Caenorhabditis elegans: one gene and its partner. The protein of the gene in region 1 purifies or fractionates together with the protein of each later gene. This does not show direct contact. Each region holds a gene or a part of one and is shown on either strand. Other genes may lie near its edges. The genes, in order: twk-37 and deps-1.

Region 1 (4,684 bases):
GGTTTTGTTGGAAGTGAATCAATAAGACGGACAGCCCAGTTTGGCTCGAGGCACGTGTTAGATGAGCATTCAGACAGAAATTTCAATGCAGATTTGCCAATATTTCCGAGCGAATTGATACAAAAACTATCATCTGAAAACATATCGTAAAGTGACATTTTCATTTAAAAAAAAGCTGAAATTGCCTTCGAAATTTTTGAAAAGTTCTTGAAACTTGTTGAACTTGGTGTGATTGTCTTTATCGCCTTCAAAAATTTGTTGAAGAATTTGTTTTCCAGACTTGGTAAATGAGCAGCTGACGAAGGCTGATGAGGGTAGAAACGAGACAAGTATCAAATAGACGAGATTCATTGTTTTCATGGGAAAACTTTCACAAATGATAATCGAAAATAAATTGTTTGATAATTAATGATTGCGTTTTCACAAATGACGGTATTTGCGTGAGCTGCACGTATTCCTGGAAAATAATTTTCAGAAAGAAAAGAACAATAAATTTTTTTTAACTAGCCACAAACACCGTTGTTTGAGAGATTAAAAATTCAATTACCAAATAGGTTATTCACGAATGCGCTACTAAAATTAACTCCGTAACGAGAAATTGCACATGAGGTTATAGGTACGGCGCTGGGAGGTCAAATAAAAAGGCGGGTGTGAGGCGCCTCTGTCAAGCCTTTACCGGATTAAATCTCTAAATGGGCAGTTTTTTTTTCCTTTCATTGTGCAAAAAAAGAAGCTTTTTGTAATTTCTTCATTCTCTTAATGACGAAAAAGAATAAGAATTAAACCACAAAAAGAATATCAATAAAAATTGTAATAAGCAAAGAGATATTTTAAATTTTGAGAATAATCTGATATCAATTATGATCACTGGATCGAAATCATTCCTTCGCTGTAGTCGTTGCAGCAAGTTTCCGTTGAGAAGCACCAGGTGATATCATATTTGTTTCTAAAGTGTCGGTAGCATGCCGTTCATCGAAGAGCTCCAAAACTCTCATAAATCTGTTTTCCATCGAATGCTGAAATTTGTAAACTTTAGACACTTGGTTTCTTACAAGGGAATCTTCACAGCTTACATGAACGAGAACTAAAACCATTGAAATCAGTGATAAATCGATAAAGTGTAATACACAAATAATAGTTCCAGAGATATGACCTGACGGAACAAAATCTCCAAATCCAATAGTTGAAAATGTACTGAAAGAAAAGTACAAGGCATCATAGAATACAAACTCCTCATAGACAGCAATTGCAAGTGCTCCGAAGCCCCAAAATGTGACAAGAAGAATAAAAGCTTTCAGTACTGTCATCTTATACTTTGCCGACTTTTTGCCACTGAAAACTAAATAATGAACTCAAATAAAGATTTTATATGGAAAGTTGAGAAGAGGTTATTTATGTTTAAATGTTAAATTACCATTTTCGAACGCAAATTGCAAAAATTTTGAGTGTCAAATTGCATATTTTCAACGTTATTTTTCCATTGTTGCGAAGTACGTAGAGTGTTAGAGCAATTCCTATAATACCATAAGCTACAGTAACCAATTTACCGGCAATTGTGTGACAGACAAGTTCGCCGTACCCTGAAATAGAAAATAGAATGATTAGACGACACCTCGGGAGAAAATTTTAAAAATATTTTTCAAAATGTTCGAAATCAGTTTTGATACTATTTTACTTGTTAATCCCGAGTCATACCTATTGTCGTAATACAAGTGATTACATAAGCCAGCCCATCCAGAAACTCTTCTATATGCTTTGGAGGGTTTGAAGCGTAGAGTAGGTCAAAAATTTCTTTTATACAATTGTTGTTCAACTCATTATCTGCCTGAAATAGATGAAAATTGTATCGAGGCGTTTTCCGGGTATGCTCAATTGAAAGAGATGCAGAAATACTTTCACAAACCTTTTTCAATTTTCCACACTTGCTACCTTTCATTGAATTGTAGATGTGTATTGATTTCTGACGAATATTTCTTTTGAACTCATTAATCTGAAAATATTATCAATGAATATATATCTGCAACAGAAACAAAAGCTTTACAAACATTCATATCAGATCTCGATTCAATCTGCCAAAACAAGAGAGCTCCACCAATTATATATGCAACAAGAACCACAAATGCAATTATTGTATTAAATTCTGAAATTTGAAACATTACTTTAAGCAGAATATAAACCAAATCCTCACTTCGAATCTTTCTCAAAATTGTTCGTAATTTCGTTGGCTTCGGTCTTTCCGCTCTAGACTTTCGTTCAACAAATTTTAAAATAGATTGCTTTCTGACAAGATGTTGAGTTTCTGGTGAAGATTTTTCCATTTGCCTCTTTATAAATTTATTAATAAGTCGATCCGTGTGAGTTTGCATTCCATCGCTGAAAGACTATTGCAGTTTGGATTGACAGTGGTGAAGCAGTGGGTATTGTTTGAGAAGATTTGACAGCTATTCTGTCGTCTTTATATTTTCCTGGTGTAGATAATACAGAAACTCGACATTTTGCTTCAGCTTTTTCTCGCACATTGTCGCACATCTTTGCGGGTTACCCCTAGTTTCGAATTTTCCGCGCATTTCTTCGCATGCTATCGTAGATCGTCGCAGATTTTCGCGATTTCCCAGCTTTCAATCGCACGGAGCGAAATGTCGAGCATGTGGGTTACAAACTAATTTTCTTCTGTGGATTGTAGTTATACTCACCTATTAGAAGTGTGATGGTTAGAGCTGTGTGATTTTTGATTTGAAGGTATTGAATCTGAACTGAAAAATGTAGTTTTTTTTAGATGAAAACAATGATTCTGCAAACCTCGATTGTCTTCTATTTGATGCTACCATTGGGACGATATTGACTCCAAAAATTAGAACTGACTTTTAAAAAATCGATTTTTAATAGTTTTGGCCATCTCAGAAAATATCACGTTTCTTGGTTATGGTGGTATTTAATAATTTTATAATTTTTAAAACTGTACGTAAACAATTTTTTCAAGAAACTTGGCGAGCTCAATGAGTTTGAAATTTTTTAAACAAATTTGGATATTTATTTTTGTATCTATTTGAGTGTATACGACAAATCTCATCTTGTGTTAAACAGTAACACATTGAAACAATAAAATATTTATACTCGAGATCGGTATTCAAAACGCCTCGGATCAAGTTAACATAATTCTTCAAATTGAGGCTCTGGAAGGGAAAGAAACTACGAAAACAAACAGTCTATGGTCATAGAAAGACCAAAGAAATTAACTACAGATGTTCATAAAAACATCTGCACTGGCATTGTAAGAGAAGAAAGGTTCATTAGGGTAAACTCGTTTGTACTTTATTGAATTTCCGATTGTCAAGAGAAGAATCCTTCTGGTGCTCCGCCCTTCTTCGACAGCATAACCGATTTGACAGCCTTCTCAAAGTCATCCGTTCCGACACATTTTCGTTGAGCACGAAGAGCCAGCATACCAGCTTCCGTGCAAACCGCCTTGATTTCAGCTCCACTAATGCTCTTCTCCTTTCCCAATACATTCTCATAGGTGACAGCTTTCTGAATCGTCATTCCAGAGGTGTGGATCTAAAAATAAAAATTATTTAAGAAATGTTGAATTGACTAACCGTGAAAATCTTTTGTCTAGTCTTCTCATCTGGTTTTGGTAACTCAATCTTTCTATCAATTCGTCCAGGACGGATAAGAGCGGGATCCAGCGAGTCGATTCTGTTCGTTGCCATGATAATTTTGACATCTCCACGGCTTTCAAACCCGTCCAATTGATTTAAGAGCTCAAGAAGAGTTCGTTGAACTTCTTGTTCTCCACGTGAAGAAGTATCAAATCTTTTCGTACCAACTGCATCAATTTCATCAATGAATACAATCGATGGAGCCTGTTCCTTTGCCATTTGGAAGATTTGACGAACAAGACGAGCACCTTCCCCACTTTGTTTCTGAACAAGATCGGATCCAGTTGCACGGATGAATGTTGCAGATGTTGAGTTTGCAACTGCTTTCGCCAAAAGCGTCTTTCCAGTTCCAGGTTCACCGTAAAGAATAACTCCTTTCGGAGCAGTGATTCCCATTTCTTCATAGTACTCTGGATGAGTAAGAGGAAGTTCCACAGACTCTTTCAGCTCTTGAATTTGACTCTCACATCCTCCAATGTCATCGAATGTCTCTTTTGGTGTCTTCTCAACTTTATGTCCCATCGCATTGCTGTCAATCTTGTCATCCAAAACTCCAACGATTGCACTTGGAACTGTTTTGAACATTCCACCAGCCTTCACCATGACGAGGGCATTCAGACGAAGCAAGTCCTTGTCGACGATCGAGAGAATTGGTACGTACCATTCACGTCTCGAACCTTCAACGACCACAACGGCATGCTTCTCATCATCGAAAAGCTCGTGGACACGAGCCAATGTGGTTGGAGTTCCTCGGAGACTTTGAACTAATTGCTGTTCACGACGTTTTTGGACAGCAAGAGGGCGACCATGACGGCTTGTTTGACGAGTGATGAACTCTTTCTGTAATGAAAACAACTGTTAACCATTTAACTGCAGTCATAGGATCCCTACGCAACTGACATAAACAAAACAAAATTCTCTACGTCTATCCTACTACTCCAACCCTACAACGATTTGAAGTTCGTGTAATGATGACGTCATAGATTGCAAACTACATTTACTACAAGCTATGGCTTTATGAAGTG
Region 2 (5,144 bases), 5.8 Mb from region 1:
TCAGCGATTGTTTGGATAGTTTGGAAATGCAAATTCCCATAGTTGAGGTAAAAATATTATATATTATTATCCAGACTTGAAAATTTCAAATTTTTTTTGCTACAAAAATGCAGTGGCCGGGTCTCGACACGACAACCTTTTGTTAAGTTGAATGCGGAAAGAGTGTGTGCGCCTTTAAGGAGTACTGTAGTTTCAAACTTTTGTTTCTCGGGAAAACTGTAAAATCGATTGCAACAAAAGTTTGAAACTACAGTACTCCTTAAAGGCGCACACTCTATTGGCATTCAACTGACAACAAAAATTTGTCGTGGTGAGACCCGGCCAGTGCATTTTTTAGAGCAAAAATCGCCAAAATTTCGCATTTTTTGCAGTACTGTGACCTTTGCCTCCGTGTTTCCATGGAATTCATGTTCCCGGTGGGTGTGCTCATTGTGTTCTCGATCACACAGATTCTTATCACAGTATCTCCGGGAATGGCTTCTCGTATTCGGAATCCGATTCCATCACTGGCTTCGTTCATCTATATGTCATTTGTTTGTTTTTAACCTTCTGATACACCTAATCTTTTCTGAAATTTCAGTTTTTCAAGTGCATAACGAACTTGCTCACGTCTATCGCGATGCTACCCTATCTTGGATGTACCGATCAACCATCATTTTGGGGGGAGTATCTCGCTGCCGGCTTGTTGGGACTTTTCTGGATGTATTCGCTGCTTAACATGGGTGTATTCACTAGAATAACCTACCACAACTTCATTAGAGCACGAGAAAATTACGAGAGACAAGTTGTGCGGAATGGGATGGTGGTGGAACTTGAAGTTTAAATAAATAAATGTTTGGTTGGATAACGGGTAGATTAAAAATGAGCAGAACATTTGAAACACAAATACGGGGGAAAACGGGATGCGTATATATTTAATTAGACCCTGGAAGATGTTGAGCTTTGTGGAGTACCAGATGGAGTTCTGCGGCTTGAAGGGCCAACGAATCGCTGAAAAACTTGTTTTTATCATCTTCCAACCTTAAAAATAAACTTACGTTTGAGCTCACTGAAGTAGCTGCAGATGCTCTTGATTGAATTGATGATCTGGATCCAATGGAACTTCCAGCTGGCGTAGTTCTGGCCGATGTTGCTCTGCTCGAATTCGCGCTCATTGCAATCAACGGAGGACAGATGGCTGTCGAGCATACTTCCATGATGGTAGCAGCACGGCGACAATCATTGACAGTAATGGATTCACGGACCCATGCCAGGAACCTTAAAATTCAGTTACAATTATTTTTACAAATCCTGACACACTCACTTTCCTCTACATGGAGTCTCCAACTCTCTGAAATCCACAAATCCCATCGAATCACTCTCCGCCAACTGCTCATGATCGCAATTTGGCTTCAAGTACACTTGGAACAAGCGCTGAATATTTTCCTCATAGAATAAAAACTATTAAATAATTGAAGACTAACCGTATCACCAGAGACCGAGTAATTTTTACAAGTGAACGCTGGACATGGAGAACATTCGGTGATCATAATTTCACTGTCGACTCCAGCTTGTCGCTTTCCAACGAATTGAACTCCTCCGCCAATGGGGATTCCTTCCTTCAAGTTATTGGGGATTTTGAAGTAGACATTCGGATGTTTGGCACAAATGACAGTGTCTTCATTGATTCGAATTCCTTTGACTGGACCAACAACGAACTGAAAAATTCAGGGGTGAAAAGGACGAGTTTAATTTAACTTTAGAGACCTGAGTATCACGAAGCCAGTTTTCAAAAATGGACATTCCCGATGTACGAACAATGCGGTAACGGACAGATTTGTTTTCTGAAGTTCGAACAGCACGAACTTCGGCCTGAAAATTGAAAGCGTTTGTTTCAAAATAAGACCCACTCATGATTACCATAGCCTTCAAGAATTCATAACCAGCTGGATGAAACTCGAAGAATGAAAGAAGATGGTGTGGGTCATCAATCAATCCAAGAGTGCCCTCCTTGTCAACGAAGAGACCTCTGATACTGGCAGGAACGACGCGGGTAAGGAGCTGAAATAAAAATTATGTTCTGGACAAAAAAATCAATATTATAACTTACATTTCCGTTGACAGAGGTTACATGCTGTCTGAGAAGTGGAACTGGCTGAAGCTCATAGATCAGAAAACCGTTGTGCTGCATCGACCAAATAGCACTGAAATGAAAGTATTCTCCGACGGCTGGGTAGATCAAAGTCTTGTCCGTTCCTCGGGAAAATGGCTTCTGCAGTGGGATAATAAAGTCGAACTGCGAGAGTTCTTTGCAAATCAGTAGGCGTTCGCCGACATACAGGCCAAGCTGCATCTTGATGACCTGCAAAATCAAATTGTCAACGAGAATCCACAAAGCAACCTTAACCTCGGCCCATTTGTCTTCTGGCAAGTGCCAGCCTTCTCTCGGCTCGATATCAATTTCGTCGTCGCTATCAGCAGGCTTTGGATCCGGGCGCCAAACACCGAATTTAGAGTCAGGAGAGCCTGCGTTCCATGGCTGAAAGTTATTTGTTCAAAATCCCGTAAAAAATTTTTAAAAAGCAAATACCGCTTCACAGACGCGTGCTTGGTCGGATGGATCGCAACTGTCAAACGATTCGAATGTTGCAGTCATATTGAAAGGATCTAGACCACTCTTCATGGTAGTTTCGAATCGAATCCAGGCGTATAGCCAAACGTCTGGCTCCGCACGGGTCGCCTCTGTCTCTGCTGAAATAAATATATGGTTAGAGAGACGAAAATCAAGAAGAAACATACGCATGGTGACGGTGCATAATGGCGTCCAGAACGAGGTCGTTGAGGTGGGCTGGATGACGCCACCGACTTTCAAAATAAGTCCATTTCTGCTGGAAGACGCTTCATAAATTGGTTTTTCTCGTTTGATATGAAGGATTATCCTCTTATCGTGATCACAGTCCGATTCGTTCCATAGGATGACTTCACCGAACTTTAGCGGGATTTTGGATCGACGTCTAAAAATTCAAGTGTTAACAGATTAAAAATGGGCTCAAATCAAATAAATACTGACTCAAGATTTTTTGCCTCTTCGATATTATCGAAATTCCTCTCCAAGTTTGTTGGAACAAATGCGCACTTGGAGACACCGTACATGATGTTCTTCGGGGCCGCTTTTCCCTGAAAACGAGCTTATTATTTTAAATATGAAAACGGAGGGAATTCACGTACATGAGCTTGAATGAGATAAACGAGGTCCGTCTCCGAATCTTGGTTATCTTGTCCAGTGGAGGAAATGACGATACCTTGATAGTCAAAATATTTGGATTGGCGTTCTGACATTTTTGTCTGAAAATTGGATTTTTTGCAACAAAAAAATGATGAGCGAAACGAAAAAAAAGAAAAATCTGTAAAAAACGTAGGATTCGAAACAAATTTCCCACGAGAAATCAGATGCGCGGCGCAGTGGTCTCACCACGAAGAGCTACCGTACCTTAAAGGCACATTGGTGTTCAATGGCGGAAAAAAAAGTTTCGAATTTTTCCGTTTATTTTTCCATTAAAATTCTGTTTTAAAACTTATTTTTTCTGATTTTTCAGCGAAAAAATGGCAGATATTAGTATCCGCTCGACAAATTCCAATATATCTCGAGGAGCACGTCCGGAATCAGGCCGCCTGCACCGAAAATACCCGTATCGCTGGCTTTTCGATCAAGTTCATGTCAAAGTAATCGATTTTTTCCGTCTAAAAGCTAAATTTTAATTTTCAGAGCCTGATATTCCATGTGGAAGTGGGAATGCTCGCCATTGCCATCATCGGGCTCTACAGGGCCAGTCAAATGAGTGTCGACGAGCATTTCGAGCCGCCATCCGTTCCCGGCTTCGATGGACTTCAGTGGAACGGCGAAACGTTTCGAAACTTCAATGGAGTGCTGATCCGCCCGAATTATGTGCCGGCTCGGAATTTAATCAATATTTTCTCGTATTTTCTGATTTTTAGGTAGGGTTTCAGGGGATATTTTAGACTTTTTCCATCGATTTTCTTCAGCATCGCAACCGGATTCTTGGGAATGAGGCTCTCCGAGACGAGCATCACACGTCGAAACTTTCCCCGGAAAGTCAACCCGGCTCTTCTACTCATTCCATCCGCAATTTCTGTGGTATTTTGCTAAAAAAAATCGATATTTTCCCTTGAAAATCCTAAATATTTTCAGATTTCCATCTTGTACCCGCTCTCCGTGTGGACGCTGCGGACTCTTTACTCAATAATAAAGCTTTTAATCAAGGAGAATCTGAAATTTTCGATTTTGTTAGGTAGAATTTTTAATTTTTAATTTTTAAATGTGGACTACACCCTGTGGGGAAATTGCTTTAAAACACGCCTATGGTACCACAATGACCAAATATCACGTTAAAAAACTTCAAAAAAAATTTATAAATTTTATATGATTTTTTGAAAATTGAAAAAATCTGAAAAAGTTTTTGCCTAATTCCTATTTGAATTACCGCCAATTGAACTCGTTCGTTGGAGCGCGCTTGCATTATTTTTTTTATTAATTTATTCTATTTTTCTTCTATTTTTTCATTCCGTGATTATTTTCACTCGGGAATCGCTCGCCCACTATGGGGGAGTCTACGCAAGGACAACGCAAGGACAAGGACAACATTTTAATGGAATGGAAACGATTGCCCGACTGCACCAATTCTAGTTCAAGCGAACAATGATAACTTTTGTATTCTGTATTCCTTCACGTCTCCCAGCGAGCGTAATAAATTATTATTATTATTATTATTATTATTATTATTATTATGTCACTGATTTTCTTCATTAGTTGTGTATTTTTATCGGAAAGAGAAGTAAAAAAGCAAGATTAATGCAGAATGTTTGCTAAAAAGTGTTTAAAAATGTGAAAAATACGTAAAACTGTAAAATAATGAGTTCCGACGACAACAAACCTGAAACTAGCATATTTTTCAGTTTTACGCATTTTCAGTGATTTTTTAATCGGAAATTTGCATTTATTTTAACTTTTTCTCTAAAATTCAAGCAAAAATACACCGAAAACATTGAAAATCGGTGGAAAATAACAATAAATAAAATAAATAAATTTAAAAACGTGCAAGCGCGCTCCATCGAACAAATCCAATTGGCGGTAATTCAAATAGGAA

What was found.
Region 2: the proteins of twk-37 (region 1) and deps-1 fractionate together in Caenorhabditis elegans (co-fractionation; one large-scale study listed by BioGRID). This does not show direct contact.

Annotation. Positions count from the first base shown.
Region 1 is NC_003279.8:6,268,683-6,273,366, forward strand, and holds twk-37 (Potassium channel domain-containing protein), read right to left. Parts: upstream 2,852-4,684; 5' UTR 2,829-2,851; coding exon 2,800-2,828; intron 2,754-2,799; coding exon 2,694-2,753; intron 2,374-2,693; coding exon 2,189-2,373; intron 2,141-2,188; coding exon 2,046-2,140; intron 1,991-2,045; coding exon 1,904-1,990; intron 1,826-1,903; coding exon 1,696-1,825; intron 1,581-1,695; coding exon 1,415-1,580; intron 1,333-1,414; coding exon 1,074-1,332; intron 1,017-1,073; coding exon 879-1,016; 3' UTR 738-878; downstream 1-737. Other genes in the region: oac-9 (Nose resistant-to-fluoxetine protein N-terminal domain-containing protein), read right to left, coding at 1-133, 186-351; C10G11.8 (AAA+ ATPase domain-containing protein), read right to left, coding at 3,331-3,555, 3,597-4,499.
Region 2 is NC_003279.8:504,651-509,794, reverse strand, and holds deps-1 (P-granule-associated protein deps-1), read right to left. Parts: upstream 3,323-5,144; 5' UTR 3,319-3,322; coding exon 3,208-3,318; intron 3,157-3,207; coding exon 3,050-3,156; intron 2,994-3,049; coding exon 2,779-2,993; intron 2,731-2,778; coding exon 2,570-2,730; intron 2,519-2,569; coding exon 2,387-2,518; intron 2,342-2,386; coding exon 2,090-2,341; intron 2,041-2,089; coding exon 1,900-2,040; intron 1,852-1,899; coding exon 1,747-1,851; intron 1,698-1,746; coding exon 1,464-1,697; intron 1,414-1,463; coding exon 1,304-1,413; intron 1,258-1,303; coding exon 1,038-1,257; intron 991-1,037; coding exon 919-990; 3' UTR 824-918; downstream 1-823. Other genes in the region: Y65B4BL.7 (uncharacterized protein), read left to right, coding at 1-47, 372-533, 581-823; Y65B4BL.4 (Dolichyl-phosphate-mannose--protein mannosyltransferase), read left to right, coding at 3,583-3,702, 3,746-3,975, 4,024-4,135, 4,190-4,289. UniProt on the Caenorhabditis elegans protein: Component of P-granules which is required for P-granule formation and integrity in adult germ cells. Promotes the accumulation of glh-1 mRNA and localization of pgl-1 to P-granules. Involved in RNA-mediated gene silencing (RNAi) in the germline.